4 linked regions of the Schizosaccharomyces pombe genome follow. The protein of the gene in region 3 purifies or fractionates together with the protein of the main gene of each other region. This does not show direct contact. Each region holds a gene or a part of one and is shown on either strand. Other genes may lie near its edges. The genes, in order: taf11, taf7, taf4 and taf3.

Region 1 (7,965 bases), 920 kb from region 3:
GTTGAGCAAGTCCAATGTATGACAACTTTTACCAGGCTATTCCCATACCAAGTAACATTGCTACTTAAAATAAGAGGTATGGTTAAAGAAAAAAAAAGGACTCATTAGAGACTACTTTATTGTATAGGAGTATAATGAAAAATATAAAACTGAATATCGTGAAGGATGGTTCAAACATTGCTGAGAATTACATCGCTATCGAGGTATAAACAAGCACAATTGTCAATAAAACAGCTTGAAAGATAAATATAAATGAGAAAGAAAGTATTTCAAACACGAAAAAATATAACGTTCATACCATTATTATTATTTTGCTGTACTTTCAGCAGTAGATTTTATTACGAAATATGCTTGGACAACAGCAATTAACATATTACTAATTACAAAGAGCAACAGCAAATGGCCTTTAGAAACATTCAATAAAGAAAGATCCATTAAATTTATATTAACATTCTGTAATTTTATCAACTATATTGTTCATTAACATACAGTTGTGACATATCACTAGCAATTGTTTGGCAGTTGTAGCTGGACAAAATAAAAATAATGTACAAATGATAGGGGTAATTTGTCTTCATTTTAATGTATGAAAAATGTAAATCCCTAACCCATGCTTTTAAAGAATAAGGCATATCATGAAAAAATTAGAAGGGAAGAAAAACCGGTGATAGATACACTAAGAGCCTAGGTATGTGTTTTCTAAATTCACCGAAACAAATGACTAACATGACGGCTCTGTGGATAAAGCCTCCGATTTTGACGTGATAATCTATACGCCTCTCGTAAATGATCAGGACTCAGTGGACCAGTATCCCCCCATTGATCTTGAATCTTTCGAGCTAATTCAACGATTTCTCCAACAAACACCTTTGAAAATCCTGAGATCACAATAGCAACATTGGGGGTTACACTTTGGTTTAAAATTTGGTTAGCCAATTTTTTAACATTGGTTTTATTTAAGTTAGCACGACGAAACACTTCGTATCTTTGCATTTGCTCTTCATCAAAACTCTCTAGAAGATATTTTGTGCGCAATTTTTCATTAGCTTCGTCGTCCGTTTCACCAGGTTTTCCAGCAACTTTTGAAATAGCAGCTGTACCAAAGTCATCCCTATCGTCTTCTTCCAGATCATTTTCTTCTTGCCGATTCCAATTCTCTTTTTCTTTTGATGAGGGAGCAGGCTCAGCAGCAGGCGATGCCGTATTTGCCTTTGCATGAGCTCCTGCTGTAGGAGAATTAGATTGATCGTAGCTCATCGATCGCTGAAATCGAGGTACTGAACTCGCAGAACCAGTTCGTTTCATATTTATCCCTTCTATCTTCAAAAAACTGAAGAGCTCTAAATGTTTAAAAATTGGGTTTGATTTTGTTATGCAAAGTGAGAATGTACAAGAAGTAAATTTCACAGGTTGGAAACTGCTTCATACATAAGCAAGTACACTACGCTTCCTTAAACGTACAATACTATGATTATAGTCAAATTGTTTACATTACATGAATCCAACGATGTTTGTAAATGACCTTGAAAATATAGGTTTATAAATTGCAAAATAATTGTTTTAGAAAAGAATAAATGTAACTTTAATAACTTAGCAACTTCTGTAACTCATTATCGTCGACTTTTAGGCGTAAGGTCTTATTGCTTAAATCGCACTTGCAAAGATATTCGATGTGTAATGGACATACAGTAATCGACTTGCAAGAACAAGCAACTTGAGAGAAGTATGAAAATGCTTTGCAATGCTGGCATTGCCAATTTTCGGCATCCTCCATTAATTCACGATAAAGTATTTCCTTTAAATCATAGCGTCCTCGTATCATGATACGTATACCTAATTCACGTTTGACAGCCTCATGCACCCAAGGCCTTAGCTCAGACACACTTATCTCTGACGCCGGATTTGTCGCTAAATTGTAAACCAACATATCATGTGAAAGTACAGGAGGTTTAAGAAGTGACTGATATTTCAAAACGCCATTCAAAGAGAATCCGTTTAGTAACCAATCTTTGGGAGCAAAATTCACTGCCTCATTAATGTTAAACCCATGATTAATTCCTGCGTGAAAGCTTTTTGGAAAGGTAATCACGAATTCATTAGGCCCCTGGTCGATGAAATAAACATCGACACCTCTTTTTTGTAGCTCATCAGGGTTGATCATTGTAGCTAATTGGTAAAGCAGATCTTTTTGTTTTTTTACCAAATCAGGAGCAATATCAAGAGCGGCGCGTTCAAACCTCTCGGCTTGATCACCTGGAATTCCATACCATAATTTTGTGTCTCCATAATGTTGATAATTTACGGAATAAGTATAGTTATCCTCGACATGCCAACAAAAAGTTGAAAAACACATTCCAACGTACAGCCACGGACAGGTTATACCTGAAACAGGATTATCTATATAGCTTAATAGAGAACCATTTGTGGATGCTATAACATTTAAATTCCATGTGTCCTTAGAGTAAGGATTCACTGGATTTTTGGCTAAACTAGGGAAGGCGCTGCCCTGATCAAGGGTTGATAAATCTGCACCGTATTCCACTTCAAGGCTTGTATTATTGTCTTTTACGAGTTTCCAATACTCTTTTTCAACAATATCCTCAGTTATCTCCGAGTCTTTAAATTTAGAAAAATAATTTTTCTTAAAATTGTCACAGTATTTTTCAAAGTTCGATAAAGTATAATAATTCCCTGTTTCAAACCCAAACTCATATGGATTAATTATACATTTAGTACAATACGCTTCTTTACACGTATCTTCGACTTCACAATTGACAGGTTTGTGACAATTGTCACATAAGTGGTTGTTATTCGTTGACAGAGAGCTCAATCGTCGCTTTTTATTATGTGAGTGATTATCATTTGATCCAAAATTATCGGCTGGCATATATTGTTGTTTAATCTGCTCATTTCTCTTGGATTCTTGGTTTTGAAGAATTCCTACGGACTCATTAGTTTCGGGGTTAAATTGTTTAGATGTCTTCTGATCTTTAATACTAATATTAGAATGTTCGTCTTTTGTAAAAAATTTAGGGAAGAGATCAGTTTCAAAGCATTGATCCTCAGAGGTCTGATATTTTCTGACGAAATCCTCAAATGGAAAAATATACCTTAAATACAAGTCACTTGCTTCCTTTAATGATGCATTAGTAAAAGGAATTGAAAGTTCTCGTAAAATCCTTTTCCATACATGAACTTTTAATTCCTTCTCACTTAGAGATGCATGAGAATCAATACAACGCATTAAGCTGTATAAGTCGATAGACGTATTGGAAATAAAAAATGATTCCGGGAGCTCCATGCCCAGATTGCAAAAAAAACGGTAAACGCGTTCATCGTAAGAGACTATTTCACGAAATCGAAGATCCATCATATGCAAATCCTGCCGCCGAGTACGGAAGGAAAACTTGTTCATGTCAAGTTGCATCGGTGGATTCCAACCAGCAGGAGGAACGATTTTTATGATACCATATTTTTCACCGATTGGAGCTATCTTATTAATATAACCGATAGAGTCCTGAAATTCCTCTTTATCAGGATAAAAAACGGGAGCAACTGGAAGTCCATGAATGGATTTGGAACGCTGTTTTCTTTGTCCGGTATTTTTTGACATAGAGGATAAGTTATTTCCCCGCGTATTCATCCCATGAGGTGCAGGTTTTAGTTTATCTGTAGCATGAGTGTATTGTACAAAAGATGGGGAAGTTTGATGAAAAGTAGACTTGCTCATGTTTCCTATGCAAATAAGTAGATAAATTAGTCCGAATGGTGAGCGATTCCAGAAAAAAAAAGTTATTATAAAAAGAATTAAAAAATAGAGAATAAAAAAGAAACGAAACGTAAATGAGAAATAATAAATGGAAACAACAGTTTTTAAACTCGGACTTAGATGAAGTAAGTTTTTTATGTTTATGCAATGTATACTTGTTCAATTGTCCATTGAAAAGACGTAAGTGTCTTTATGGGATATAAATAAAGAAATTAGGTAAAATTCGAAAATAATCTTAGGCTAATAGCATAAATAGGCATTAAATTAATATTCGTAACGTATGGTTAAGTGAAGGTTGTGACAACTTCAGTTGACGATTTTGAGAGCTAAAGGAACGATCATTAAATTATAAAGGATAGAAAAAGGAAAGGTATTTTTCACAATTAGCATAGAATTTACAATCGGAACAACGCCATATCAGCACCAAAGCATTTCAAGGTAATTCACCGTTTAGAAAAGAAAGCGTGGATGGCAGAGGCTGTAGATACACTGAACGTATTCTGTGATCAACATATAAAGGTTCCATCACGTTCAAATGAATGACAGGTTCAGAAACGTAACTTTTGCTAATAATGGTGGTTAGTACTTGCCTTGGTAAATGATAAGATAAACTATCAATGCAATATTTAGTAAATTTAATAAATACCTTCTGGAAACAGCTACTTGCTCCGCAATCCACCAAGGAGAACGACATTGAACTGATTTGTAATTTGGCAAGCGGACGTGCTTTCTTAGATGCATTGAAAATGCATAATCAAAATTTTCATAACCTTCTGCTAAAAATTTCGCTTCTCCGTTGTGTAATTCTATCTTTAGTAAGAACAACTGAACCATAAATCATTCGACAACAAACAAGTGCACATCAAACCTTTAAAACTTACGCCATAAAGCAATTAATGCAGAAGGTACGGTTTCATCAAAAAAGGCGCACTTTCCTTGAAACATTGACAGGCAAACTGTTGTAGGTAGTTGGTTTGTTTACAATTGCGCGCGACGCGTTTCGAAAAAGAAACACAATAAAAGATATTCAAGAATACTAACCAATACTTTCTTTCTATTTTTTAATACACAATAAGAAGCCGATTTGATGAATTGAAAGGAAAACGATCAAATTAGTTTTATAGGAATTAACATTAGAACAATATACCAGTTCTAATAATTTACTTTGCAAAAAAAAGGATTCTTTATTTTTTAATTTTAAAAAATGTAAGATGTAAATTGATATCGTATTTTTTGGTAAACGGGAAATAACCTAAAGACATTGAAATGACCGCTTTAAAACGAAACTACAAGATCCAGGATCTTTCAATCATAAAAAATTAATTTTCCTCTTTCCAGTTCAAGGTTTCAAAGGTATAACATATCATGCTTCAATTTTTTAGAGCGTTAAGTATTGGGTATGAGTTTAAAAGTTGCCGGGAAGTTTATCAGCAAGAGCCTTTAGGTTCTCGCCGGTGACTCTCATCATACTCCATCCTCCAACTTTTTGTGCTCCAGCCTTTTCATAGACTTCAATGGCTCTCTGGTTCCAATCAAGGACCTAGGGTATTAGTCAAGGTATAAAAAAAGAAATGGGTTATAAACAACTTACAACCCAGTCAAGACGTCTGCCACCAATTCTAAGTGATTCTCGTGCTAAATAAGACAGTAAGTAGCTTCCATATCCTTTTCCACGGAATTGGGGTCGAACATATAAGTCCTCCTAAGAAATTGAATGGTTAAAATCTTGCTATGAAATCAAAAGTTAATCCTTCAATAAAAAGGTTATGAAGGACAATATGATAAGAACATACTAAATAAATCCCCACTCTGCTAGTCCACGTGCTATTCAACGTCAGCTCATATATTTCAAAACGGAACTTTTCACTACCTAAAATTTAGGAAATATATAGCCATTCCTGCGGGCTGATGGCAATTATAGATTAGTAAAAAAGATCAAGCAAGTTTACTTTTTTTTACGAACCTGATCATTTTCTTCGATGAATACTCCATATGCCACAGGAGTAACCTCGTCAATAAATCCAAATGCAACTTCTAAATTCGGAATTGTCGCTTCCACTTGATCTTCACATTTTTCAAATTCTTCATAAACAAAATGTTAAAACCGGTTTTTAAATAGTAACACAAACTGATCTGATAGCATGCGGACAGAAGTAGAGATCGACCCTGCTGACGAAAACCATATATTCTCAAATCCATATAAAAAGCTTAAGAGTAATCTCCAATTCAATAAGAGAATCAGACCCTGTGAGTCTGGGATACTGGCAAAAGCTCTAGCCTTTTAATAGAATCTACACGACTTCGTCCTCTTGGTCATAACGGCGCTTACCTGCCAATTCTTTAATAAACTGATAAACGGTCGGAAGATCTTCTTTAATGACAGAGCGAATGCGAACTGAACCCATGTTTTGAATTAATTGGTTTACTTGGTGTGCAGTGCTAACAGTAAATAATATGCGTGGCCTAATGGTAGTTTATTGTCTAGCGCACTTTAAACTGATGAGATCTCATCATATTATTTTTGGAATGCCAAATACGGGTAGAAACTAATCTAGTATGTTCCATTTACCTTTTTATGTTTGGGAATGAATAATCCGCTTTTCTACTGAACGATTATTAAATACTACCTTGAAAGCTAAAGCAACTCATAATAATGAAACATTAATTCAGTAAACAATTTAATAAACAGCATGGTATAATAAAGAATATTATAATAGTTTTTCGAAGTTATGGTATTTGTATTAATTAACATCTAAAAAAGTTGAAAGATGTAAACTTCCATTTAAAATAGCTCAGTTAAATCCATATTGCATTTATGCACTTTCCAAAAAAAAAATGATACCTGAGACTATGAGAGACATAAAAGAACGTAAAACAAGCCTGAACGGAAGCTATCCACTTAAATTGAATAAATTAGTAATAGATTAAGCAAGCATAAGTTATTTTAAATATGGTGATTAGAATGAACGCGTGTCTCAACGCAAACAAATCCTTTAATGATGTAGCGAATATGGCACAGGCAAATAAATGAAATACAGTGGCCTCAGAACGCAATGAGTAGAACATGAAGTGGAGAAATGATAAAAAAGAGAGTGGTTTTAAAAAACCAAAATTACTGGATGCAAAGAAATGCGTGTATGAACAAAAACAATCAATACGTTTGTTTCCCCCAATTTTCTGTAAATTTTATGAATCTTCAATTATTGTACCCAAATGTAAATGATGTTTGAAAGGATATTTTTGTATAATTTTTGAAATGGTAAGAAAGTCGGCTGCACTCAATAGTCCAACGGGCATATCGATGTTAATCCCACATTGGGTGAAGGAGGGTAATAGAGTTTCCGCACCTGGGCCTAAATAATAAATGGATTTTGAAAGTGATGTTGCTTTACATGTCAACAGTATCCTAACAATGCTTTCAAACACTGGAATAGACAATTGTTTATCTTGTGGTTTGGAGCACATTTCAACCAAAGTAAGGTCCTCTTTATGCGGTTCACTAGTAATTGGCGTGGGTGAAACTAATAAAGGATTTGGAGAAATTTGATAATTCTCCTTGGCCTCTTTACTATACCCCATACATAATTTTTGCAATGTTGACTCGGAGGCAGCTAATACACGAGAGTCTGTAAAGGCCTCTCGGAAAACTGATGTCTTGGATCTTTTTGAAAATCCCCTACTTCCAAGAAGAGTAACAGTAGGAGAACAGGGCAACCATAGCAATACACGAACTCTTCCAAAAATGCCAAGCCAATCCCTTGCCGAGAGAAAGTCTAAAATTTGAGAAACAAATAATAACCCGGCATAACCATGAGGAAGATGAGCAAAAAATAAAAGTTCGCGATGTGGTGATAACTTCTGCTCCTCTTCTGTTTGAATACGAGGATCCAAAACCTTCGAAACGTACACATCTTCGTAAGTTTGCCAATAATAACCATCTTGATGCACCCACTTAATCCTTCCATCAGAAAGCGTACACAATTTTTGTAAAGGTTTGGAAAAAACTTCCCGTGATTCTAGCACAACGTGACTTTTAGGTTGGAAGTAATTGAACAGCGAAGTGGTAGTCACTCCCGGTCCCGGTGCCATTTCTAAAATAGTCATTTTCTCCGAGTTGTATTCCTTAAGCAGATTGCTTTTCACAAGCGCTTCATCCATCAAATTCTGATTCACAAGATACGATGACTTATACGAAG
Region 2 (8,540 bases), 1.3 Mb from region 3:
GTTGTAATCAGTAGAGGAAAGAGAAGATCCTTTGGAAGATGGATAAACCAACTTTATAGTGGGAAAGCCCTGTACCTGGTATTGAGAGCAAACGGCCCTATTCTGATCAGCATCACAATCGACAGCAGTAACCGGCAAGAGTGAATGTAGATTGCTGGCTAATTTTTGGTAAGTAGGTACAAGCTTTTTGCAATAACCACACCACGGAGCATAAAAGACAACTAAAGATGGGCCCTTTGCTTTTACAAATTTACGAAAATTTTTGGAATTTAACTCAATCGTGTTGGATCCAAACATTGGTGAGTAGCCAAAGACGCCGGATACAAGGCTGAAGCAAGCCAAAAAGAGCGTAAATAAAGTTGGAATACGGAAGAGCATAATGATGTGTAGTTTGTCCAGCGTATTTTTAAGGGTAGTAAGGTGAATGAAAGAAAGGAAAATGAAAATCGAAGAAATAAAAAAAAATAGAAACCGTTTGGCGAAAATGAAATAAGAAATACGTCCTAGCTACAAATGATCGATGCAATGGGAAGTAGTTGGTGAATGGAAAAATCGAGAGGTTTACGGCGACAACCACTTTAGTGTGAGGTTTGAGTGAGCATATGTCACGAGAAAATTTAGAAGAAATAATAGGTTTTAGTCAATCAATGAGTTATAAGGCTTATTGAAATCATCATTTTGATATAGAATAGGTAGAGTATGTCAAGACACTAGAAAAATCTGAATAGCGGGGCACAAAAAATGCACGATGAAAACGATGCGACTTGATTCCCCTCAAATGAAAAGAAAGTGTTTGTACGTCAAAACTATTAGTACTAGAGTTTTTTGAATAATTGACTTGATGGTTTTAATACTTGAGTAGACCTAACCTTCATCTACCTTTTTATATCATGTAGCTGGTATCTGTAATCCACCAACTGTCAAACCAAAAGTACAGAAACTTGAAAGGAGAGATATTTGACAAAATATGATACAAATAGATACTATACCGAAGGAATTACAATCCATTCAACCGTTTGTGAGACGATTCAATGAACTTGAGGCACACAATCCTGTCATAGCTTATTGGAGTAAGTGTTTAGTAGCTAAGTGATGAATTTGTAATATGGAAGGGTGTATGAAAAAAAAAATTGGAGAAAGAAAAATATAAAATAATAAAAAAATAACTTAAACCTTTTTTCTCTCTTGTTTACGTTGATGAAGTTTTCATAGTCTACATTTCGCTAGAGGGAATACTACTTTCCATAATACACCCTATTATAAGCACAAAGGAATTTGTTTCATCATTCGAGATATTCATTTGCTTGATTCACTAACTTGTACTATTACTAGGTCTATACTGGGCAGCTCAAATGGCGCTTTCCAGCTCACACGGTGTTTCCAACGAATGCAAGGATTTCCTGCTGTCACTCATTGAGCATTTAGAAGATGTAAGTTTAGAAAACATCCTTTTCCTTTTTTTAAATGTTGGCGAGGGTTTTTTCTCTTTTTTTTTTTTTTTGGATTACGAGACCAACTATGTAAATGTTTCTGTGGTACTAACCGCTCTATGGCGTGTGTAGTTACGTAAAAATTTGGGCGAGAATGAGAATGTGAGTGACGAGACTAGTGCAAAGGCGTATGTTGAATCGTTTTCCCTAGAAGTTCTTGTCCAGGCCGAAAGAAATAGCAAAAACGGGAAACCAGATGTGCAAGCGTATTTGGCAGCCCGAGATTTTCTAGAGTTGTCGAGAATCTGGGGACCACCTACGGAACAGGTACGTGAGTCAAAAACAGCGAGAGCAAGTGAGACGGAATGAAAAAGAGTAACGAGCAGAACTTAGGAGAAAAAAAAAAGAAAACCACGATCAACAAAAATGAAAAAATGAAGGTTCTTTGGAAATTTTTTTATTTTTTATTTTTGTTTTGTCAAAAACAAAATCGTCTTTTCCAATTCACATTACCATGTGTTTTTTTTTTCGACTCGTTTCTTCTTTTGCCATTCTGAGGATTTCCTTCCTATCGGTATTTTTCTCTCTCGTTTGTATTATACAACGATGCTTTATGATGCTTATAACGATTTTTTGTTCCCTACTAACCCCTATTGCTACGTAGATTACCAAGTCAATCAAATTTTGCAAGTTACGTGCGCTCCAAGTCGCAAATCCCCAACGAAAGGCCAAAACACCCTCAAACCACGCGACCGAGGAGTTACAGCAATCTTCCACAAATTCCACAACCCTACCTACGCAAGAAGCCGCCGTTGAAACGAATGCCTCTGCTTCTCATGAAACATCTTTTGCTCTCCCCACTACATCTCCAGCAGCATCGCTCTCCATCTCTCCTACAAAGTCTGCAGCCGTATCTTCCGAGCCTAATGTAGAAGCAGACGTAAAATCGTTGTCTTCAACACCGGCTGCTCCACAACTAAATTCACCTTCCCATTCATATGAGCCTACCACGTTCCCCTCAACTACATCAATAACCGAAAATTTGCCAACAATAGATCCTACTCGTTCCACTCGCTCTTCCTCGCATATCCAAAGTTTATCTCCTGAGTCAAAGCAAACATCAGATGGGCATCGGCCTCCCTCCCCTACGTCAATCACCACCACCTCCACCTCCATCGATCCGTCAGTAGCATTTTCCAGCAAGTCAACTTTAGCCACAACAAGAACAAATGCCCCTCTATCAAGGCCATCTCAACCGACTAAAGCCTCCCCCTTGAACAAGTTTTCCGCCTTGGAGGCTATCCAATCTGCTCGAAGTCATGCACGCTATGCATACAGTGCATTAGACTACGAAGACACAACGACAGCCATTCATCATCTAAAGTCGGCACTAAAACTTTTGGAGGAAGAGGAGCAGGGAAATCATACTGCAGACTAGAGGAAGAATGCTGGGGCTGGAATGGAGGGGATCTCAATGAGACAATGGGAAAAGGTGGGGCAGATACCAGTAAAATTATCTATCCATCTTGGGGAGAAACAATCTAATTGTACCACTCTCCCCACTATTCGTCTCTCTTAATGTTTGTTTATTTGTTTGTTTTTTTTTTATCCACTTTTTTTTCTTCAAATGCTTTCTAATTGTAGCAGGACCCCGCCTTTCTCTCCACTCTTCCCATTTTCCCTCGCCGTTGAGTGGCACTGCTCATCCCTGTCTCCTCATTTTTTGTCGCGTCATTTTAGCGAGCGTTTATTAAGGAACTGGCGAATGACTGCTGTTGTATATATTTCCCCAGATTTTCAGCAAGTAAGCTTTTGTCTTGTACTGCATACCACGTTGTCTTTCTTGCCCCTATGACGCAGTTATGAGACCAACGAGTCATGGGTTTATCCTGCCTCATCTTTTGTTACGTTATTTTCCTGTCTGCTTGGGTTTGGCTTCCGCAGTGGGGAACTGGCAATTGCGGTGGATATGTGTGGTGTCATCGCCCTCTCATCAAGTTTATATGTAGAGGGGCAGCGCTGAATTCTTTGCTCTTGGTTATTGCTTTCGCAGTTTTCCATATTTCCCCCATCCATCCATCCATCCATCCACCTCTTCTCTTCTCTTCTTTTTTTAACAGAATTGCTTTTTCCATTGTAAAATAAAACCATAGCAAGTTTTCACTACCACTTGGGTTTTTTTTTCTTTTCTTTAATTATTTTTTTAATCAACTTTCGTTGCTTTAATTTTTAAATATTTTTTCTCTTTTCATTCTTCCTACTCTTCCCGTTTACCGTCGATCGGCTGATTCTAGTTTTGACAATCACCATTGACTACGTCGATCCCTTTTTTTTTGGCCAGCCGAGATCATATATCCCGTTCATTCTTGGAACTTTCGTGATCTTTCGACTGTCTATTGATTCCGCAAACAAGTATATATATACACATATAGTTGTTTTTTCTTTTTGGACCTCTGTTCCATTGCGTTTCTCTCCTTCTTAGTTACTTGTGCTTCTTTACCTATTTCCTTTTTCTTTTTAAATAAGGATTCTTCTGTATCGAAATAAATTTCAAGAAAGGTAAGAACCGTTCCACACGCCTATTCTTGTATTTCTCTTTTCTTCGATTTGATTCGATTTCTATTCGTAACGCTTAGCTAGTCTTTGAACTTCCTTCATAATGATTGGTCCTCGTCTTTGCGCTGCAACCCCTCGCTTCCCTCTCGTTTCCCTCGCCCACAGGAACTCTAAAGTATTTGCGCTCGCCTCTTCCAATGCCGTTGCACAACGTTGGGGCAAACGCTTTTATGCTCCTATTGAAACGGAGACGCCTCACAAAGTTGGTGTAGAGTTTGAAGAATCCAAAGATCGCATTTTCACCTCTCCTCAAAAGTATGTTCAGGGTCGTCATGCCTTCACTAGATCCTATATGTATGTCAAAAAATGGGCCACTAAATCAGCTGTCGTGCTTGCCGACCAGAACGTATGGAACATTTGTGCCAATAAAATTGTCGATTCTCTTTCTCAAAACGGAATGACTGTCACCAAACTGGTCTTTGGCGGCGAGGCAAGCTTGGTGGAACTGGATAAACTTCGCAAACAGTGCCCTGATGATACTCAAGTCATCATTGGAGTTGGTGGTGGTAAAACCATGGATTCCGCAAAGTATATTGCTCATTCCATGAATCTTCCATCCATCATTTGTCCTACTACTGCCTCCTCTGATGCCGCTACTTCCTCTCTTTCCGTCATTTACACTCCTGACGGTCAATTCCAAAAATACAGCTTTTACCCCCTTAATCCCAACCTCATTTTCATCGATACCGATGTGATTGTTCGCGCTCCCGTCCGCTTCCTTATTAGTGGCATTGGTGATGCTTTGTCCACCTGGGTGGAAACTGAATCCGTTATTCGCTCAAATTCCACTTCCTTTGCCGGAGGTGTGGCCTCCATTGCTGGCCGTTACATTGCCCGTGCTTGCAAAGACACTCTTGAAAAGTATGCCCTGAGCGCTATTCTTTCCAACACTCGCGGTGTTTGTACCGAGGCATTTGAGAACGTGGTCGAGGCCAACACATTGATGTCTGGTCTAGGCTTTGAAAACGGTGGTCTTGCTGCTGCTCATGCCATCCATAACGGTATGACCGCCATCCACGGTCCCGTTCATCGTTTAATGCATGGTGAAAAGGTTGCTTACGGTACCTTAGTTCAAGTTGTTTTGGAGGATTGGCCGTTGGAAGACTTCAATAATCTTGCTTCTTTTATGGCAAAATGTCATCTTCCCATTACCCTTGAGGAACTTGGTATTCCCAACGTAACCGATGAAGAGTTATTGATGGTAGGTAGAGCTACTTTGCGACCTGATGAGAGTATTCACAACATGTCAAAGAAGTTCAATCCATCTCAAATTGCTGACGCTATTAAAGCCGTTGACTCCTATTCACAAAAATGGCAAGAACAAACTGGATGGACCGAGCGTTTTAGATTACCCCCTTCTCGTCATAGTCCTCACTTGACCGACATTCATCCATAGGCATTATTTTTATCCCCAGCTTCAATTTTCCCTAGTAAATCCAAAAGAAGAAAAGAAATTTTTAAGCGGGTTTTCTTCATTGATCATTAATGTCCTGAGTGTTTTTTTTTCTATAGTAGTCTTTTATTTCGTGTGCTTCCTTTCCTCTTGGAACTTTTTTTACCTTTTTTCTTTCTTCCTTTTTTTTATTTTTTTAAAAAAGTTGTAAGCTTTTCCCGTTAATCTAGTGATTTAATGATCAACCTTTTCGGCCTACTCCAAAGTTTTTTACGCCCCTTATAACTTCATGAATAATTTGCTTTATTTTTGTTACGAATGAAAAAAATTGTTCCCCTTTTCAAATGAATGTTTTATCGTTGTTAGTTGTATTGTATTAAAGTTGTTCACCGTAATTGATCTATTTGTTACAATGCACATCATCTGTGTTGCTTCCTTTTTTTTTTTTTTTTTTTGCAATCGCTTTTTATTGTGATAGATTTCAAAAGTTTTAAATGTAATTACAATTAATAATGTTCCTATGTTAGAAAACTTTAAATAACTAAAGTGATTTGTTTTCACGTATTATACAATTGTCGCTAGTGGCCTTGTCAAACATTCGTTGTTATTATATTATATGCTAACTCAATATGATTAGTATGCTACAAATGGTATAATAAGTGAGTAAATCCCGGATTCCTAGCTACATTGAAAACCCTTTTTACCTTAACCTTTGCATCGATCAACAATTTCGCGCTTTATTTACATTGTTTACTGTGGGATAAATAAGTAGTGTTGTCAACAATACATTACTCAAGGATACACTACGTTGAGTATCACTATATGACACATGTCCTAATCATTCATCGTTGTATGAAACAGTATTGAGATTGACCTTAATAATAATCTATTAATATTTTTATTATCTGAATACTATAAATAGGGCTACTGCCGAACCTTGTTCCTCAGTTCAGTAGTTTAGCTATGTCGGTGATCGATACTAATGGACTTCTTATAGTAACAAATATACATTGTTAGTTAAACATACCACATACCGCTATACTGTAGGTCGCAAGAGAAACTCACCGCAGTTCTATGAATCGTTAAATAGATACCAAACTGCGTAGCTGACAGGTGTTTGCAGATAACGATTGTATTAAAAAAATGTTGTAAATCACTATGGCTCGTTAGTAGTAGATAACGAGACTCACTTGAAGGTTTAGCGACTTGCTAATCGAGCGTTTGCCAACGACAATTACTCAAAAGGCGGTTTTCGAAAATGGTTAAGCTAAAAATTCGTGCTGTTCAGCCTCCTCCAAATGATTCACGATCTAGCACTCCAGCCACTGGTCCTCCTCCCCCAATTCCTAAAATTAAGATCAAGACACGTGAACCTAAAGGCCCTCGATTGACAAAAATTCGGTTAAAAAGAGTTCGCGAACCTGGCTTAGGATATGATTCAGAAGCTTCTGACAGAGAAGAAGACACTTATATTGAAGAACAAATTATATTACGTCTTCCTCCTGGTGAAGATTGTGAGTATGTTCGAAAAGCAATTGAAAATAGGGAAGTGGGACGAGGTGCAGACATATGGGTGAAGTTCAAAGGTAATGACTTGGTTACACTATATTATTATTAACAGAGTTAGATCAAAGAAGAGCGGTTGTTCATGTTAATGGTCATTTGTACGCTGCGAAGTTAGTTGATTTGCCATGCATCATAGAATCTAATAAATCATTCGACAAAAAAGTTATCTTCAAGGCTGCTGACATCTGTCAAATGTTGATAGCTACAGAAAGAATCGAGCACGAAAATTCTGTTCTCAATACTCAGTTAAAGCAAGCTGATTACATTTATCCACATGGATTGACGACGCCAATGCATTGGGTGCGGCAGAAGCGATTTCGAAAACGTGTTTCGAACAGAACAATCGAAGCAGTTGAAAATGAGGTTGACCGATTGCTTGCAATGGATGAACGCGCTGAAAGTACATCGAATGAGTTGATTGATCAAGCACAATTGGCTCGTGACTCAAGCATCGCTCTTTCAGAGGATACATCGTTTGATGGAATGGCAGGACTTCGTGGTACCAGCATCGATCGGGACGACCAAAGCGTGCAAACTGATATGTTTGATGGTATGGATGAGGACGATTTGGCTGGACAGATTGAACAGGGTATGCTTGAGCTTAGTCAAGATACTCGGGAGTCAACAGCAGAACCTCGTGCCGCAGGTGAAGAATCTGCTAGTGAAGAAGAAGAAGAGGAGGAAGAAGAAGAAGAAGAGGAAAATGAAGCTGACGATGAGACTCGCGAAAATAAACGACAAAATAGACTTGTTCGTGAGTTTATTTCAGAGTTGGAGTCTTCTATTCAAAAACGTAGAAAGGATGCCGATGAAGCAACTAATCCCATTCTACGAAATCGTTTCCTTGCAGACGTTAATCGTATGGTGACCGAGTTAGAGTTAAAACGTACTCAACTTGTCGATAACCCTGAATAAATGTGTTGCGTAGTTACATCTTTTTACATTTTTTTTTAAAGAAAAAAGCATTTATTTCTATACGTTTTACCTTTTGCATATCAGCTACAATAATAATGAACATCGGTTATGGTTTGGATATATATACATATATTTATATTTTATATAGTAGATTGTAAATTGCATATTAAGTATTTTAGACACTGATAGCCAGAATTAGTTTTGTTAATGAAGTGTACCGAACTTTATTACAACAATCATTTTTCTGCATAAGCAATTCTATTTAAACGTATACATATATTTATTAATATACATTTATATGCTCATAAATAAATTTATATACTTGAAGATTACTATTTCTTCAACTTGACAATGATGCATTCATTGTCGCTTATAGTAACATAAACTTTTGCTAACTCTACAAAAAAACCCTTCCATTCGGTAACCTGAAAATTATGCCGACATGGAGGTATATTTTTTCATTAAGAAGTAAATCTTCTTTCACTAAAACCTGGGTACCGTTTACTCAAATTCGAAATTCTAGTAAATCCCCCAAAGTCGGCCAAAAGCCAATTTTACAAGGCGCGTTAGGACCTCCGTTAGATTTTATTAGACCGAAGGAAAAAGTAACTCTACCTCCT
Region 3 (8,707 bases):
AGCCAGTTCAGGTTTATAGTCTTGCAAAGCCTTTTCAAAATCAGCCAGGGATCGATTTTCATGAGCCTGAGCAATCGCACGCATAGCTTCAATATCTCTACCAGCGTACCGAATTGCGTGCTTTCCTGTTAATAAAGATTTGACTTCGGAAACAGAATTAAGCATAATTTGAGATAACAACATGTATTTTAAAGATGAAAGGGCTTTTTTATCATCATCAAGCGACGTGAATCCCTCATAAGCCTCATAAAAGTATGAATAAGCAGTCTTGAAATCCATATCGTCAGCATGTAAAATACCACTTTGCAAATCTAAGTTCCCCTGAAGCATCGGAGGGCAATAAACAGCATTAGCAGAAGTTTTAGCAGCTGTTAATGAAGCACGAGCTTTTGGTATATTTCTAATTGCGTGATAAACTTTCGATTCCAACAAATGAACTTCGGTCAAAAGCATTTTGTCGTCCATTCGTTTGAGCTCTGACAAAAGAGTATTAATGAGATTGATGGCATCAGTGTAAGATGAGTTGTCATAATATAAGGAAATTAATTTCGTCTCTAAAGCTTGACGCAAAAATGTACGCTTTTCTTTAATAGCCCATTTGATACAATCGTTAGCAACTTCGATTTGTAAAGGCAAAGACTTCTTTTCGCCAGAGAATTTATCAATTAATGTTCGGACTAAAATGGTGTTAGGTTGTTAACACAATAGACATTGATACTTACCAATTTTAGCAGACTTGGCTTTCGAGAAGTTAGCCATCAGCGGACGACTTTGTTGAACCAACTGAGCCAAATCATTATGGCGACTAGAGAAATAAATGTTAGTTATCTTGAGGCATAACTGTTCCTTTATTTAGAATTTACATACTTTTCACGAACGTATAAATCGCTCAAGTTAGTGAGAGCTTGTTCCTGTTCATTCGCAACTTTTTCGTCTTTACTAACTCCTTTATTAAGAACTTCTTTATACAAATCAATCGCCTTTTCGATATCGTTGCTTTTTACTGCATTGTTTGCTAATTCAAGGCTAGATTTGCTAGACATGATGATGATGGTTATTTCAAAGTGCTTCCAGCATGGAATTATGCGAGAGATGAAGCTACTGCTGGATGGGTAACATTGTAACTTTATATTACAGCAAGTTAGTCAGGTGTGTATATGTATGTGTTTATACTCAAAGTAAAGTTAATAACTAATTATTATAGAAATGATTGTTTTTTTTTTAGTGAAAAATACGTTGATAAACTTGTTAGCGTCGTGAATGAGTGATCAGCAAAGCATCTTATGGTTTCGATATACTAACTGCTTTTATATCGACAACGCTCGAAAATCGAGATACAATTGAATAATTCATATACAAAAGAAATGATATGTAATTCCTAGTATTTCAGTTAACGGTGCTCAGCTGTTGGAAGCAGATAGATACTAAATGGTATTTGGGTCCACCACTTCACGTCCACCAAATATCGAAGATTATTGATCGGTTCGGATTGCCGCATATTTGAGAGGAGCTTGAATAAGGACAGCTTATCATGTCTAATAATAGCCGTTTACCAGAGAATGGTGTACAAAGCGGTAACGGAGAAGACGCAGAGTTGAAGAAGAGTATGAGAATTATTGAAAGAGAAATTCCAGACTCATTGCTTGAAAAAATCCCAGAAGCAGAAGATTATATTGCTCTTCAAGATTTAGAAAGAAAATTGGATTCATTAATCGTTCGGAAACGATTTGATTTACAGGATTCCTTAAGTCGAAACTCTCACAAAACCAGGATTCTTCGTATGTACATACATTCCACTGTTGCGAATCAATCATGGCAACAAAAGGGAGAAAATCAAGAGAATAATTCTGGCGACATTAACTCCCTTCCCATACCTGAATGGACTCTCCATATTGAAGGTAGACTACTCGTTAATCCTGACGACGAAGACGATAAAGCTTTTGAATTAGCACCTTTCACCAACTTTTTCCGTAAAATTGCTATCCAAATTTTACGATCAGATGATCTCTATCCTAGTGGTAATTATGTTGAATGGAATAAACTTCCGGATAACTCTAATACATCTAACGGCATTACCGTTACGAGAAAAGGCGACCAATCCGTAGATGTCAAAATTATGTTATACCCTGAAGAGCATCCTGAACGATATAAACTTTCAAAAGCCTTTGCTAATATACTGGGTATTCGTGAGGGCACTCGTCCTGACATCGTTAGCTACCTTTGGCAATACATCAAGTTCCATCGCTTGCAAGACATGGAGGAGAAAAGATTAATTAACTGTGATAAGGCATTAAGGGATTTATTTGAAGCAGATCGTCTTTACTTCCCTAGAATTCCTGAGCTTATGAATAGATTTCTCGAACCTATTGATCCCATTGTTATACCGTATACCATTAATGTCAGTGAACATACTGTTGAAAAAGTTACAATTTTTGATATCCGTATCAACACGGAAGATCCTAGGCACAGCCAAATTCGCTCTTTCCTTGCTACGATGATGTCGCAAGATAAAATCAGAAGTATTGACGATAAGCTTACCGAGTTAATTCAAGCTATCACTTACTCACAGTCGAAGTATGATTTCATGAAGAAATTTTCGGAGAGTCCAATTGAATTTATTAACGAATGGATTGAATCCCAGAGCCGAGATTTAGAAATCGTTTTGGATGGCACAAATATGAATTATGCAGAAAAAAGAAGTGCTGATTATTATCAACAACCCTGGGTACATGAGAGTGCATTTCATTATCTTAATTTACTAAATAGCAAAAAGCAGCAAAGCGTTTTAAATGCTTCTGCTAAGAAGTGATAGACTATTACTACGTTACCAGTAGAAAGCAACGGTATATTCCTGCGTGTGTCACAAACGTGTATATTATTTACAAATTAAAAAAAAATTACATATAACCAGAATAAAAAAAAGAGCTTATTCTTCGTTTCATTTAAGAAAAATACATCATAGGAAATCCAAAATTGATTTCGATAGAACAAAACATTGTATTCCGCCTGACTTGACCTAATGCAATTATCGTGTTTAAAAAGTCATCGGTTGTCCTGAACAATAATCCACTCAAATAGGAGGAAGGGGTTTTATAAATGAATCCCCGAGATAAATAAATGAGTTAGTCATAACTTTTTAAGGCCATATTAAATTCATAAGTTTAATCTTTTAGCCTAATGTAAGCACGCATCATTGCCTTAGCACCCCTACCAAAAATACGCCCAGCACCTTCTCTATCCATTTCAAGAACCGCTAATGCGTCCCTAATAGTAATTATACCTTTTTCTTCTTGTTGTAAGGGCAAAACACCATCACGGGAGGAGGGCTTAAGAGAATTAGAATCCTTTTTCCGAATACCAAATCCACCTCCAACTGCAGGAGTCATTGGAGTCATATCAGTTGCCATCCACGAGTACTTTTTACCACCGGATGGTAGTGCACTACCAGCCATGATGCTTGCAGTAGCGTTAGTCATTCTGTTTTGCGCATCTTCAGATATATTTTTTGCTGCAGCGGAAGAGCTTTGTTCTTTTCTACGTCGACTCGATCCTTCTTCATTAGTGGAAGCCGAATTAAGTTCAGCCAAACGAGCTTCATGCTCTGCTCTACGAATATTCAATACTGTACGTCTTCTCTCCTCACTTTCGTACTCCTTATAAGCAAAATTGGCAAGAGTCTGGCGCACGTTGTCAACTTGTTTGTAATTATCAGTATGCAACTGTGAAGTCCGGTGATGGCTTTCAACAATCATTTTTTGCAACAAATTTGCCAGATAATCACGGACTGCCATAGATATTAGAGCATGAATATCAGAATCCATGCTTTTTAAACGATGTAAGTTTACAATGTTGCTAACTGTTTGCATCAACACAAAAGAATTTAAGAAGTCTGACTTTCTTGAACGGTCTTCGGTAGTAAGCGCGAATGTATTTAGAGATGAAGGGTCATAAAAGGAAGTAGACAAATTCAATTCCTCTTCTTTTAATTGAATACCACATGAAATAAGAGCATCCTGAAGCTGATCTGCCTCTTGCCTGTCGCCGCCGCTTGCCACTCCAACGCTTGATGATACATTATTTGGTCGTGGAGATGCATAATGTAATTTTCCAGGCCCTGAATTAGGATTTTGGGTATAAGAAGGTTTTCGATTACCTAAATAACCTGGAATTTCTGGATACTCTTCATTTTTGGGGCGTTTGTTAGCAGGAATATCATCGTCATCTCCAAAGCGTTTTGAAGGAGGATTATTTAAATCCATGAAAGAATACTACTACAATAACTATGCTTAATATTGTATTAAAAATGTTGGTAGTTATCAATACGTTCTTTACTAGCAAGTTTAGGAACTTAAGATTAAACCCTTACCTTTCCCTATTACCGATTTATAACGAATACACTGTATTTTTTATTGGGCAAGGTAACGAGAGGCTCTTTAAGAGGCTTATATCGATCTTTATTTTCAAGATCGCTTTCGAGCTTGTAGCAGATAAACTTATACCCAACCTCTATTGTAATTCCAAGATTTCCATAAGCATAAATAGTACACTGATTCAATTGTGCGTGTAAACACTTGTTAAAAGAAATCAGTTCTTAATAGACTTGTCCATTGAAGTCTGATTAAAGGTTCAGGATAATCTTAACTATCGTCGGACAAAGTCTTCAAAACATCTTCAAATGTTTTTACATTTGTAAGAATATTGTTAGTGAAACATTCCTTTACCGGAAGCAACGCTTATAATTGTTGATTGTATTTTGATTGTTAAAGGCGACAATTGCAAATCCGCTAAATAAAAATAGCCTTTTTGCTAATTTTTGTGGGAGCAAATTCTATTTATTTCTGAAACTCATATTTTCTTTCCTATCTTTTGAATTTTTTGGCCCGTTCTGTTCGAACTTGCGGCCCATTGTTGTTGTTTCTCTAGAAAAAAAACAGGTTTCCTTCAGTATCCGCATTTCATTCTTTATTTTACTTTTTTCCTTGCATTAATTTATCCATTGATTTCCTCCTTGTTGATCGTCTTTTTTTTGTCCCGTTTTCATATATGCATTATAATGCCTCATTCTAACACTTTAATTGTGCCATCCACAAACCCATTTGATGATCCATCATCCATAAAGAATGGGCTTAACAATCTGACAAGTAGTGAATTAGTTAACCAAATGAAAAAGGAATCATTAGCTGCTAGTGTTAAAACCCCTTCAACACCACCCAAAGAATGTTCTCATTTGAAAAAAGGTGTTAAGCTGTCTCATCTCAAAGGTAATGCTCGTGCTCTTCGGGATCCGAGCAAACATTTGTGCTTTATATGCACCACGGAGAAAATAAAAAGGGAGGATTATGAACTAACACTTTGTGCTAATTGTGGCTACCTTTTCTGCTGCAATCATGAGTCTGATCATAGCCGAAAACATTTTGAAAAGAATAAGAAGCATTGCGTTTTTGTCAACATTATAACCTTGAAATGTCACTGTTACAGTTGTGATGCAGATATAGTTATTTTTGATAAAAAGAATTTAGTTGTGCGGGACGTTCAACAATTTATTTGCTCTAACTTGGTTTCATCGTTAACTAAGGCCCCCAACGTTTTAAAATCCAATTCGTCACACTTTAAAAAGGAAAAAAAGAGTAAGCATTCTTCTGGCAAAAGCTCGAAGAAATATAAAGTTATCAGTCCTGGTTTAAAAAATTTGGGTGCCACATGCTTTTTTAATTCGACTTTACAAGTCCTATGTGCTTGTGAGGCTTTACACGATGTGATTAGCCCGTTCCAATATTCCCACTCCTCAGTTATAGTGCGAAAGTTAACGAAATCTCCTGAATCTTCTCTTTTATCTGCATTCATTAAATTTTTGGAGACCTTTTATAAATCAGATGGCACTATCTCCGTATATCGTCCTACCACTTTTTTCGGAGAATTTCGAAGACTACATCCCCAGTTTTCCGAAAGCGTCCAGCAGGATGCTCACGAGCTTTTAAGGCTGTTATTGGACGATCTCATTTCTGAAGAATTTCGTGTACTGAGATTTAACCTTAATAGTGTATCACGTTCTCTTCAACTTAGTCCATGTTTGACAGATGATGAACAGCTTTCTAAATCGTTAACTTCGTTTAAACAAGTGAATGTTACAGATGCTTCTTTGTCGCCAAATTCACACAATACAAGTGATAACGAGCAGAACAACGAAGATTATGTTAGCGTTTCTTCATTAGTGGGTTCTGAGACCGAAGATATTACTTATTCGAAGGAGTTGTCGCAATCATCTGACTCTTCACAGCATCAGCATGACAGTTTCTTGCCTGCTAATTCATCGCCATTAGCGGCCTCGTCTACAAAATCCCTTCCATCGTCAGAACTTCTCGATTCCAGTTCAGACAAGGGACAACAAGTTTTTAAGGGTCAACATGAGGTCGCTGGTACCAATTCTTTTGAAGATCCTAATTCTCATTTCAATGTATCTAATAGTTCTAATCATGAGGAGGCTAGTCCTAAAAAAGAAGTTTTAAAATCTCCTCAATTTCAAAGGCGTTCACTAGACATACTACGGCTTGGTGAACTTTCTTCAGATGATATGATGCTTGATAAAGCTACTATGGATGAATTTTCTTCAAGCCTGGTGATCAAGTCAATTTTTACAGGCCGTTTAACGAGCGTTGTGATGTGCCAAAGTTGTAATGAAATTACTAACACTCCTGAACCTATTCAAGATTTATCCATACCTATTCATTACCCGTCTAGCCGCGTAAGTCGTCGTCATCGATTCCATCGTGCTCTCCGTTCACGATTTAGTCGTTCACCAAAAAAATCGTCTGTAAAGATAGTTGTTGACAATGCTAACGACGACACTGATCAAGCCCCGACTACTAATTCCTCTTCGTTAAATGAAAATTTACTTGGTGGGCATGCTAGTGAAAATGACAAGAGTTTGAAACAGTCTCCATTTCAAAAACTGACTCGAAGATTAAGTGATCTCTCTGTCAATTCTAGCGGGCAAATTTCGAAACAAGATTTTGATAATAGTAATTCAATTTTCTCAGAATCTTCACTATCAAGCCCAATAATAGAGGAGCCTAAGACACTTATTGATTGTCTCAAAAACTTTACTCATGTTGAGGAGTTAAGTGGTGAAAACATGTTTGCCTGCGAGAATTGCTGTAATCAACCTAACGAAGTTGGCTCTCCAGCTAAGGGAGGATTGACGTCGGATAACGATAAATATTCGTTTAATAACAGTGTTTATAGAAATGCTTACAAGCGGATGTTATTAGATGACCCTTTACCTCCTGTTTTTATTATCCATTTGAAGCGTTTTTTCCAGGAGATTTCCCACGATGGTTACGCCAATCCCAAAAAAATTTCCGATTTCATTGAGTTTGAACAAGAATTAGATTTAAACGAGTTCGTTATGCCACACCTACGTGCTTCAAGTAGTTTTAGATATCGACTTTTCGGGGTCATTGTGCACAGTGGCACCCTGAATTATGGTCATTATGTTGCTTACGTATTGTCTCATAAATTCTTAGACCTCAGTGCCCCTTCTACGAATTCTAAGGATTTCCGTTCTGAAGCTGGCATACCCGAGAGACGATGGCTTTACATTAGTGACAATATTGTACGCGAATCATCCTGGGACGAGGTTTCAAAAGTCGAAGCGTATATGCTATTCTATGAACGTGTTTAGACTTCTATTGCTTTAAATCCTCATTTTAGCTTAACAATATTTTTCAATACCCCTGGTTTTTATCTTTAAAATGCAAAGTATTCATTTTGAAATTTACGATTGGCCCAAAATGACTTATTCAACTCAATCTATCTTCACCTTAATCGAATTTCAAAATTACTTTGTCATTTCACCTCATAACTAGATACTGAATTTTGGACGAAACCATAATTATTCAAACACATTCTTTTGATGTACCTCAATTAAAAAAATACCATTTTACTTAATTAAGCAAATGGGATAATTTATTTTACGTTATCAATAGTCTATATAATTGCAAATTTATAGAAAAATCTAAATTTACTTATTTTTTATACGCTAATAGTGTTGTTATTGAATTGTATAAATATTATCTCTGTTAATGAAGCGTGCAAATCAGCTTTAGTCTCTAAATAATTATTATTTATTTATTCTATTGCATATATTTGAAAAGTTATCAACAATCTTATTCAGTCGAATTTGAATGTTCCGTAAAATAAGAAATTTATTTGCCCGAGGTTAGAGGTGCTTAAACTATACACCTGACTTGTCATTATTGGAATATAGTCGCTATTGAATTGTTATAGTGTTGTTACATTCACGTTTATTACCATATAGCATTTAAAGGTTGTTTTATACTTTTTAACGACAGTATTCATCAGAGACTCTAAAATTCGCATTTGTAAAAAAATATATATATATATTACCATTACTCCTAGTTAATGGGTTTTAAACACAAGAAGTTACAACAAATTTTTTAAAAAAACTGGTTATTTAAGTTATATCTCCTTTTTAAGTTAACTACGTTTGTAATAATGAGCTTTGTTTCGAAAAGTCCACCGATAGTAAACTCCGCGAGCCCAACCGGACAGGTTAATCCAATGGAAGTTGAAAAGGCGAACAAATTATTAGAAATTAATCGTTTGATTTTATGGAAATGCTTAGAACTTCAGCATATTAAGACGGCGCAAAATTCGACATTGGAGCAACGGGCTTTATCTACTGAAC
Region 4 (7,558 bases), 1.7 Mb from region 3:
ATGGATGAAGCCGATCGTCTTCTTGATATGGATTTTGGTCCAATTATTGATAAAATTCTTAAAATTATTCCTCATGAAAGACGTACTTTGTTATTTTCTGCTACTATGACTAGCAAGGTTGAAAAGCTTCAGCGTGCATCCCTTCACCAACCCGTGCGTGTTGCTGTATCTTCCAAGTTTAGTACCGTCGATACCCTAATACAACGGTATTTGTTTTTTCCATTTAAACACAAGGACACGTATCTCGTTTACTTGGTAAATGAACTTGCCGGCAATTCAATTATCATATTCGCTCGTACAGTAAACGATACTCAACGGTTGGCCATATTATTACGTACCTTAGGATTTTCTGCTATTCCTTTACATGGACAGTTGTCTCAAAGTAATCGTCTTGGGGCTTTAAATAAATTTAAGTCAGGTGCGAGATCTACTCTTGTTGCAACTGATGTCGCTGCCAGAGGTCTAGATATACCTCTTGTTGATGTAGTAATTAATTACGACATTCCTACCGACTCAAAGGCATATATTCATAGAGTTGGTCGTACCGCTCGAGCAGGTCGGGCAGGTAAATCTATTGCATTGGTTACTCAGTATGATTTAGAACCTTTTCTTCGAATTGAAGCTACAATTGGCAAAAAAATGCAGGAATATGAAATTGACAAGGAGGGTGTATTTCTTTTATCTGAACGTGTTGGAGAAGCTCAACGTGAAGCTATTATTCAAATGAAGGAGATTCACGATAGGAGAAAATCAAAGGGAAAATTGCACACGAAGCGCAAACGTGATGATCTTGATCGTGAAGAACAAATCTATTAATAAATAGAGCGGAAAAAGGGTTATTGTATTTATAAAATATAAATATTACTAAATTCTATAGATGAAAGGCAAAATTTTTGGGAAAAAACTAGGTCTTTAAAACCTACTGTTAGGGAAGTGGTTTTGAATTAATTAATAATAACAATACTTTAAAACGAGGAAAGCCAAAAAGGGAATAATCATTAAGATATGTGTACAGAAAAAGCTTGTAGTTCTTAATAGAGAAAAGATAAAATAATCATCGACTGCTATCATAGGCTTTAATTTTAAAGGTTCCTTTGGTTAGATCATATGAGCATTTCCTAACTACAAACCCATACAAGTAATGGGTAATTGGAACAGTGGACAAGTGCCAAAGAGCATGAGCATCTATAAGATTTGCAATAGGGCTGAAGTCAAAGAGTTCCAAGCTTGTAGCCAACATTAGACTAGTAACAATGTACGCTGGCCATCTAGTCCAGTAAAGTCCAGAATTTCGATTTGACCAGGAGTAGTAATACCACAGTATATTTTGGACTAAACCTACTGCGACGTTTGCTTTCATATTATAACCATAATCGAAGGAATAAAAAGAAAGATAACTTACATGGGCAATAAAGGCAGCTATGAAGATAACGCCTATTATCCAACACAAAAGTTTTCCCCCCGGTAATTGATCCAGTCTCAGCATCAATATTAAGGTACAATAAGAACCAAAAAGAACAAAAGCGCCGGCAGAGAAATAATCGAGTTTTTCGGTAATAGGCGTATCACGAATGTGAAATACACTGCTCCAAACCCAAGCATTCATTCCTACAATAGCCCAGCTTAAGCACAATCGCTTAGCTGGATGCTCATCTGGAATACACCTGCGCATTATATGGTAACCATTGTAATGGATCATAAAGTTGAGCATTGAAAAGAAGACACTGAAAAGCTCTTGAATACCAAAAACTCGTATAAAGTACCATTTTCCATGGTATTGTTGCGAAGGTAAATTATGAGCGGCAAAATAATTTTCCGCAGTTATTTCACATTCATATCCGCAGTTACTACCGCAATCCCATCGAAAGAGCTTCAAGTCCAGCGGAAGTTTTGACGTATCTGATGGGTTTCCGTGACATTTATTTTCGATGCACCTATTTACACAAGAAACGTATACGGGATGTAGGTCTCCTGCACTAGCTGAAATCTGCCGGAAAAGGCTTAATGCAGTGAAAAGAAAAAAGATTGTAAAGTTCCTCAAAACTCTCATAACAATAGAATAAATAGTATACCAAAAACGAAAAGTTTATAATCAGGTTCTTCAGGTAACAGCTAGTACATGGAGGTCATGGACAGGAGTGCTTTGAGCACAGACCGGTTGAATAGATATATTCACCCATAAGGAGTAACAATGTAACTCGACGTTCTCAACAAAATAAATCTAAATGAATGAATTGCTTATTTCAAGCTTGTTTAAACAAATTTCATCACTTAAAATTGTAGAGAAAACGGTGGATATCACTCACAAAAAATGCCTTTTTTTTTTGAAAATCGCGTTGTTAGTTAAAATGCCAGGAAGATGTAAGACACTCGGCAGCTCTGGCATAACAATTTAGAAAAATAAATAAGAATAATGATTAATTTTAACCAGCTTGACTTGTATGAATCTTTAGCAATCGAATAAGACTTCACGTACGACACATGTATAGCGAATCTAAATAGTCATCTTATAGGCATAACAAGTGATAAACGATCAGTAAAGTAATAAACTAATTCTGCAAGAAATAAAAGAAAATTTTAGTTTAATCCTGAAACAATTAAACTAATAACCTTTTTATGCGACGCCATTAGAACGCCTTCTAGATAAACATGGGATCAACTTGAACTTAGCAGAAGGCTTTGTTAACTATCTTTGACGTCTTCTTCTTCGTTAGAAGCAGAAAATACAGTCTCATAAAATCTTTCAGGGCCGCTGACACGAATCTGTTTTTGAATTAAGCTTGTAAGCCAGTCTTTAGGTTTGACTTGCGTTTCACTGTCTTGAACAAATCCAGATACCCGACGAAGTTCCGCAACCTGTGGACCATTAAACCATTCTACTAACGTTTTAACATCTTCTTCAGAGCCATTTAACAAACCAATTTCTTCCATTGCAAGACGCAGATCGCCCAAATCGCAACAGCTCCTCCTGCCAACTTCAGCTTTTGCCATAGCGGTTTCTGAAAGAAGTCTAATATACCGGATAGTAATATCAGTAAAAGAGTTTAATAATGAAACCTTCGTTCGGTCAATGCCAGCTGCGCGAAGTGTCTGAGAACAGAAAATCCTCATTAGCGAGAAATACAGCTCGTCAATTTGTGTTTCTTCCATCTCCGATAACTAGATAAATCGAACGATAGACTTATTAAAAGTCAAGTAATGTCTATACCAGCTCACAGTATAGTTTTTATGTTGCAGGGGACTTCCAACCTTTAAAGCTAGCTCATGGAATTGAATAAAGTGGAGACACAGCGCCTCGTTAGTCTTGCATAATGATACATACTACAAATTTTAAATAGATTTAATGGTTCACACAACATCGATATTGTATTTGTAAATTATCACATCGATTGAGACCCATTGAGCACAAAAACTCAAGTATCAATTTAATTACAAACCAAGTGTTTAAGAAGCCTTTATGCTGGAAATAAGACTGAAGTCGTCACAATAGAAACTGAGTTTGAATACTGAAATAATTTCATTTATTTCTCACGCTGGGAAGAACCACTATAAAAAAGGTGTTTTCGAAATTAGTGTGCCTACAGGTGGAAAACAGTTTTATTACTTACTCTACTATATTTCTTTCTTCCTGTTTCTTATCTAATGGCCTATCGAGACCGTACGGGTTTGTACATTACTTTTCGACAATCCTACTCTCATCATGGGCAACGATTGGAATTGTCGGGTTGGGACCCTAAAGAAGAACGGCAGAGTTTAGTCCATAAAGATAATAAAGATAACACTGTAATAGAGATGGACATGCTTGCCCCTAGATGGGTAACAGTTGAAGGAGAAATAGACAGTCTGCTGTTAAATACACGAAGAAATATTAATTTGCTTGATAAGCAATATGCTAAACATGTATTACCTAGCTTTTCCGACAAAACTGAGCAAGAGAATGAAATACAGAGATTAACCATTCAAATTACACAAGATTTCCAAAGGTGTCAGAAGCTTCTCCAAGTTACCAAAGCTCAAACAAACTCTGCAACAGGCTCAGAAGCTCTAATGGCTAAAAATTTCTTATCAAATTTAGCTAGCAGAATCCAAACTGAAAGTGCACAGTTTAGAAAAAAGCAATCTACTTATTTGAAGAGTATGTTATCCCGCGTTCTCCTTAACAAATGTACTGACCCCAAATTTTTTAGAACTTCGTGGTTTAAACGCCAACATATCTCCTGTAGAGTCAAAGCTCGACGAGACGGTATCCGACGTTGCAATTTCACAATCTACTATACAACAAGTTGCCTTAATGGAAGAACAAGGAGAAGACGAACAAGCTATACGACATGAAAGAGCTGTTGCCAAGATCGCTGAAGGCATTATTGAGCTAGCGCAGATGTTTCAAGACTTACAAGTGCTTGTTATTGAACAAGGAGCATTAGTAGATCGTATTGATTTCAATATTGAACAAACACAGGTTCATGCAAAATCTGCCGAAAAGGAGTTAATAAAAGCGGAGTCTCACCAAAAAAATACCGGGCGGCTTCGGTTTATATGTTTTCTAATACTTCTGATCGTTGCTTTAATTGTCATTTTGGCAATTAAACTGCTTCGGTAATTCATTTACCCTATTTCACTTTAATACCATGCTGCTAGTCATGAATGACCAATTTAATATTTTCTACGAAAAAGAAGGTTTTCTTTTTTTAATTTATGCTTAAATAAATCAGGTTTGTTTCTTTCTTTATTAAAAGACAACAGTTTTACATACAGATTAAATTTATGTACAATAAAACATCATTTTTTATAGTGAAATGATTAATAAAAATTTTCCCAAATCCAATAATGATACAATTTAGTTCACTTATTCTGTGAGTTCGCAGACGGTCTAGCTCTTGGAAGATGTTTTTTCTCTTTCTGAGCGCGTCTTCTTCTCTTTTTCTCAATGTATTTATCCAAAGCCTTTGTCCCTTCCATAGATTTATATTTATCCATCTGTATTAACTTCTTTTGTTCGTTCCTTTTCAAATAAAACGGTTTCTTCCCTTCTTTAACCCTTTCTTTTTCTTGAGCACGGAATTCATGCATGACACGTTCGGCCCTTTCCTCCTCGAGATGTCTCTCCATCTTAGAAAGTAAAGACTTTAAAGTTTGTCGAATACTCTCCGCCCGTTCTTGATCTTTGCAAATCTTCAATTCATCTCTTAATTGCTGGATTTCCGATACTCGGTATTCATTCAAAAAGCCGTAATTTTTTTTCACTTTATCTTTACTTAAGTTTCCCGATAAAGAGTCAAATCTGGGATCACGAGTAAATTTTTTTGGTTCAGATATTACTTCGCGAAAACGAGAAACTGGTTTTTTACTTGACAATTCTTGAGGGGCGTGTTTCTTTCTTTCGCCAAAAATTTTTTGTCAACTTTCTCAGTATGTTTCATATTTTTTCTGTCATTATCTTTGTTTTTTGCTGTTCTTTAAGCAGGTCCCTTTGAGCATTCAACAATGTATCAAACGGAATCTCAGCTAACTCTTCAAATTTGTGAGTAAATATTAATTAAGAAAATAAAAGAATTTTTAACATACGACTTTTAGCTGTTTTTGATTCGTTGTTTGAGTCTTCATCGTCTTCTGAATCTTCATTATTAAAGTTTTCAAATTCTTCTTCTGAGACCAATTCTTCGTCGCTATCTAGATCATCTTCGTAAACACCCGCATTAGCAAGAGTCCCATTTTCAAGTGAACTTGATTTCATTTTGGCGATTTGTGAATGTCTACTACATAAAAGTATAAAACCTCTCTACATAGAGTATTTACCGTAGCGCTAAATATAGCGTTAAATTTGTAAATGCTTTATACTATTTACTATTGAAAACTGCATATTGAAGCCTCGAAGGAACTTTGAAAATATTCGTAGTATGTATATATCATCAAAAGTTTGAATGCTTTATGAAAATTGAAAACGTTTTACGAAAGCTATTAGAAAATTGGTACAACATAAAAAAAAAATTTGGAATGGATCATGCCTATTAAATATTTTAAATAAATTTGAATGTTTCTATACGTAAAATATGACATTAGAAAAATTCATCTACATTTTCGTTCTCATTAGCGGGAGGATAATATTGAGGCAGCGGTCGAGTATGTACAAATTCTTCAGGTTCGTTGGAAACATAAGTGCTTGCACGCTGTAAGGAAGGAGGAACCACCGCTTGATTTCCAATAGTATGAGAACGGTTCCTCGTTCTTTGAGTTGTAAGCAGTGGTTTTTGTTTGTCAATGCAGTATTGACTGAAAGAGGCACCTGTGATAAAAGGATGATTTTTCGCCTGGTCAGGAGTCCATCTCTTCAAAGGATTTAACTCTAAAAACTGCTTTATGAAATCGATGAAACAAAGTCTCTCTTCATGTTCTTCAGGAGTAAGCTTAGGTGTGGTTTTTCGGCGAGGATAATTTAAAACAATAGCATCGAGTGTCTTTTCACCAAAATATTGTTTTCCAGGTTGCTCTGTTTTGTTGTTTTCGATAGAAAACTGTTCGATCGATTTAAGCTCATAAGTTTTTCTACCGTTTACAAAACCAGAATTGTAATATTTCTTCGAATTTTTACCCATTTCTAACATCCAAGTGGGAGGATTACCAAGCATGTCAACAATCCGACATAATTGATTATATTCGGAATTTCCAGGGAACAAGGGAAGACCTAAGAATAGTTCAGCTAAAATGCATCCCAAAGACCACATATCAATTCCACAGTTATAATGTAGTCCTAAAATTACTTCCGGACTGCGATAGAATCGCGATTGAATATAGGTATAAACTGTTTGGCGTTCGTGACAAGCACTACCAAAATCTATCACTTTCACAATCGGTGATGATAAATCCTGCAACAGGATATTTTCCGGCTTTAGATCACAATGTATGATTCGAGCTTGTTTGAGGAGAGATGTGCACGATAGAAGTTGCGTTGCGAAAGAACGAACAAGACTTAAATGTAAACCACGGAACTGATTTTGCTTGATAAGCTCATAAAGATTAATACTGAGTAACTCAAAAACGAGACACAAATGATTTTTATGCATAAATTGATCATATAAACGAATTAAATGGCGCTTGTCTTCTGGATCGTACTTATTGTTAAGGAGCTCTAGTATAGAAACCTCCATCACACATTGGTTATAAAATGCCGGCTTATTTTTGATAACTTTAATAGCTACAATTTGTTGGGTTTTAAGATCTTGGCATCTAGCAACTTGACCAAATGTGCCATGCCCCAGGGTGTCGAGAATCAAATATTTACGGCCTTCATCCGTTCCTAGCAAATCGTTAACATACAATACATAATCATGATTGACGTTATCAAAACCATGGTTGTGAACTCCTTCACTGGGTTTGGTGAGTGGTCTCCGAGGGTTTTGTTCGGAAGAAAACTGGAATTTTGGATTACAAATTGAATATGTATCAGCTAGTTTCACAGTCATTGCTTCTAAGGGCTATATGTTTAATTAGTAAAATGCAGAGCAAGTAAAAAATTTCGTACGCTAATATAGCTTCCATGGGGAGACACCCTTCTGTAATT

Evidence for each region.
Region 1: the proteins of taf4 (region 3) and taf11 purify together in Schizosaccharomyces pombe (affinity purification with mass spectrometry, with the first as the bait; one study listed by BioGRID). This does not show direct contact.
Region 2: the proteins of taf4 (region 3) and taf7 purify together in Schizosaccharomyces pombe (affinity purification with mass spectrometry, with the first as the bait; one study listed by BioGRID). This does not show direct contact.
Region 4: the proteins of taf4 (region 3) and taf3 purify together in Schizosaccharomyces pombe (affinity purification with mass spectrometry, with the first as the bait; one study listed by BioGRID). This does not show direct contact.

What each region holds. Positions count from the first base shown.
Region 1 is NC_003424.3:1,803,068-1,811,032, forward strand, and holds taf11 (transcription factor TFIID complex subunit Taf11), read right to left. Parts: upstream 1,392-7,965; 5' UTR 1,306-1,391; coding exon 706-1,305; 3' UTR 557-705; downstream 1-556. Other genes in the region: histone demethylase Jmj2, read right to left, coding at 1,583-3,730; bouquet formation protein Bqt2, read right to left, coding at 4,203-4,335, 4,416-4,575, 4,651-4,714; SPOM_SPAC1002.07C (N-acetyltransferase Ats1), read right to left, coding at 5,175-5,309, 5,361-5,471, 5,563-5,593, 5,640-5,674, 5,733-5,851, 6,099-6,174; RNA polymerase-specificity factor Mtf1, read right to left, coding at 6,956-7,965.
Region 2 is NC_003424.3:2,171,910-2,180,449, reverse strand, and holds taf7 (transcription factor TFIID complex subunit Taf7), read left to right. Parts: upstream 1-6,662; 5' UTR 6,663-6,697; coding exon 6,698-7,025; exon of another isoform or gene 7,026-7,066; coding exon 7,067-7,920; 3' UTR 7,921-8,040; downstream 8,041-8,540. Other genes in the region: mpd1 (thioredoxin family protein), read right to left, coding at 1-378; vta1 (Vts1 family protein), read left to right, coding at 968-1,070, 1,333-1,430, 1,563-1,757, 2,095-2,868; glycerol dehydrogenase Gld1, read left to right, coding at 4,090-5,442; mismatch repair ATPase msh1, read left to right, coding at 8,355-8,540. UniProt on the Schizosaccharomyces pombe protein: TAFs are components of the transcription factor IID (TFIID) complex that are essential for mediating regulation of RNA polymerase transcription. Also involved in the transport of mRNA from the nucleus to the cytoplasm.
Region 3 is NC_003424.3:879,997-888,703, reverse strand, and holds taf4 (transcription factor TFIID complex subunit Taf4), read right to left. Parts: upstream 4,322-8,707; 5' UTR 4,260-4,321; coding exon 3,162-4,259; 3' UTR 2,810-3,161; downstream 1-2,809. Other genes in the region: proteasome regulatory subunit Rpn6, read right to left, coding at 1-677, 723-805, 868-1,043; SWI/SNF and RSC complex subunit Ssr3, read left to right, coding at 1,532-2,809; ubiquitin hydrolase Ubp7, read left to right, coding at 5,054-7,681; SWI/SNF complex subunit Snf30, read left to right, coding at 8,515-8,707. UniProt on the Schizosaccharomyces pombe protein: Functions as a component of the DNA-binding general transcription factor complex TFIID. Binding of TFIID to a promoter (with or without TATA element) is the initial step in pre-initiation complex (PIC) formation.
Region 4 is NC_003424.3:2,585,905-2,593,462, reverse strand, and holds taf3 (transcription factor TFIID complex subunit Taf3), read right to left. Parts: upstream 3,236-7,558; 5' UTR 3,151-3,235; coding exon 2,683-3,150; downstream 1-2,682. Other genes in the region: ATP-dependent RNA helicase Rrp3, read left to right, coding at 1-816; pga3 (GPI-phospholipase A2 activity regulator), read right to left, coding at 1,055-2,050; SNARE protein Tlg2, read left to right, coding at 3,643-4,135, 4,188-4,600; serine/threonine protein kinase Ppk15, read right to left, coding at 6,057-7,472, 7,520-7,558. UniProt on the Schizosaccharomyces pombe protein: Functions as a component of the DNA-binding general transcription factor complex TFIID. Binding of TFIID to a promoter (with or without TATA element) is the initial step in pre-initiation complex (PIC) formation.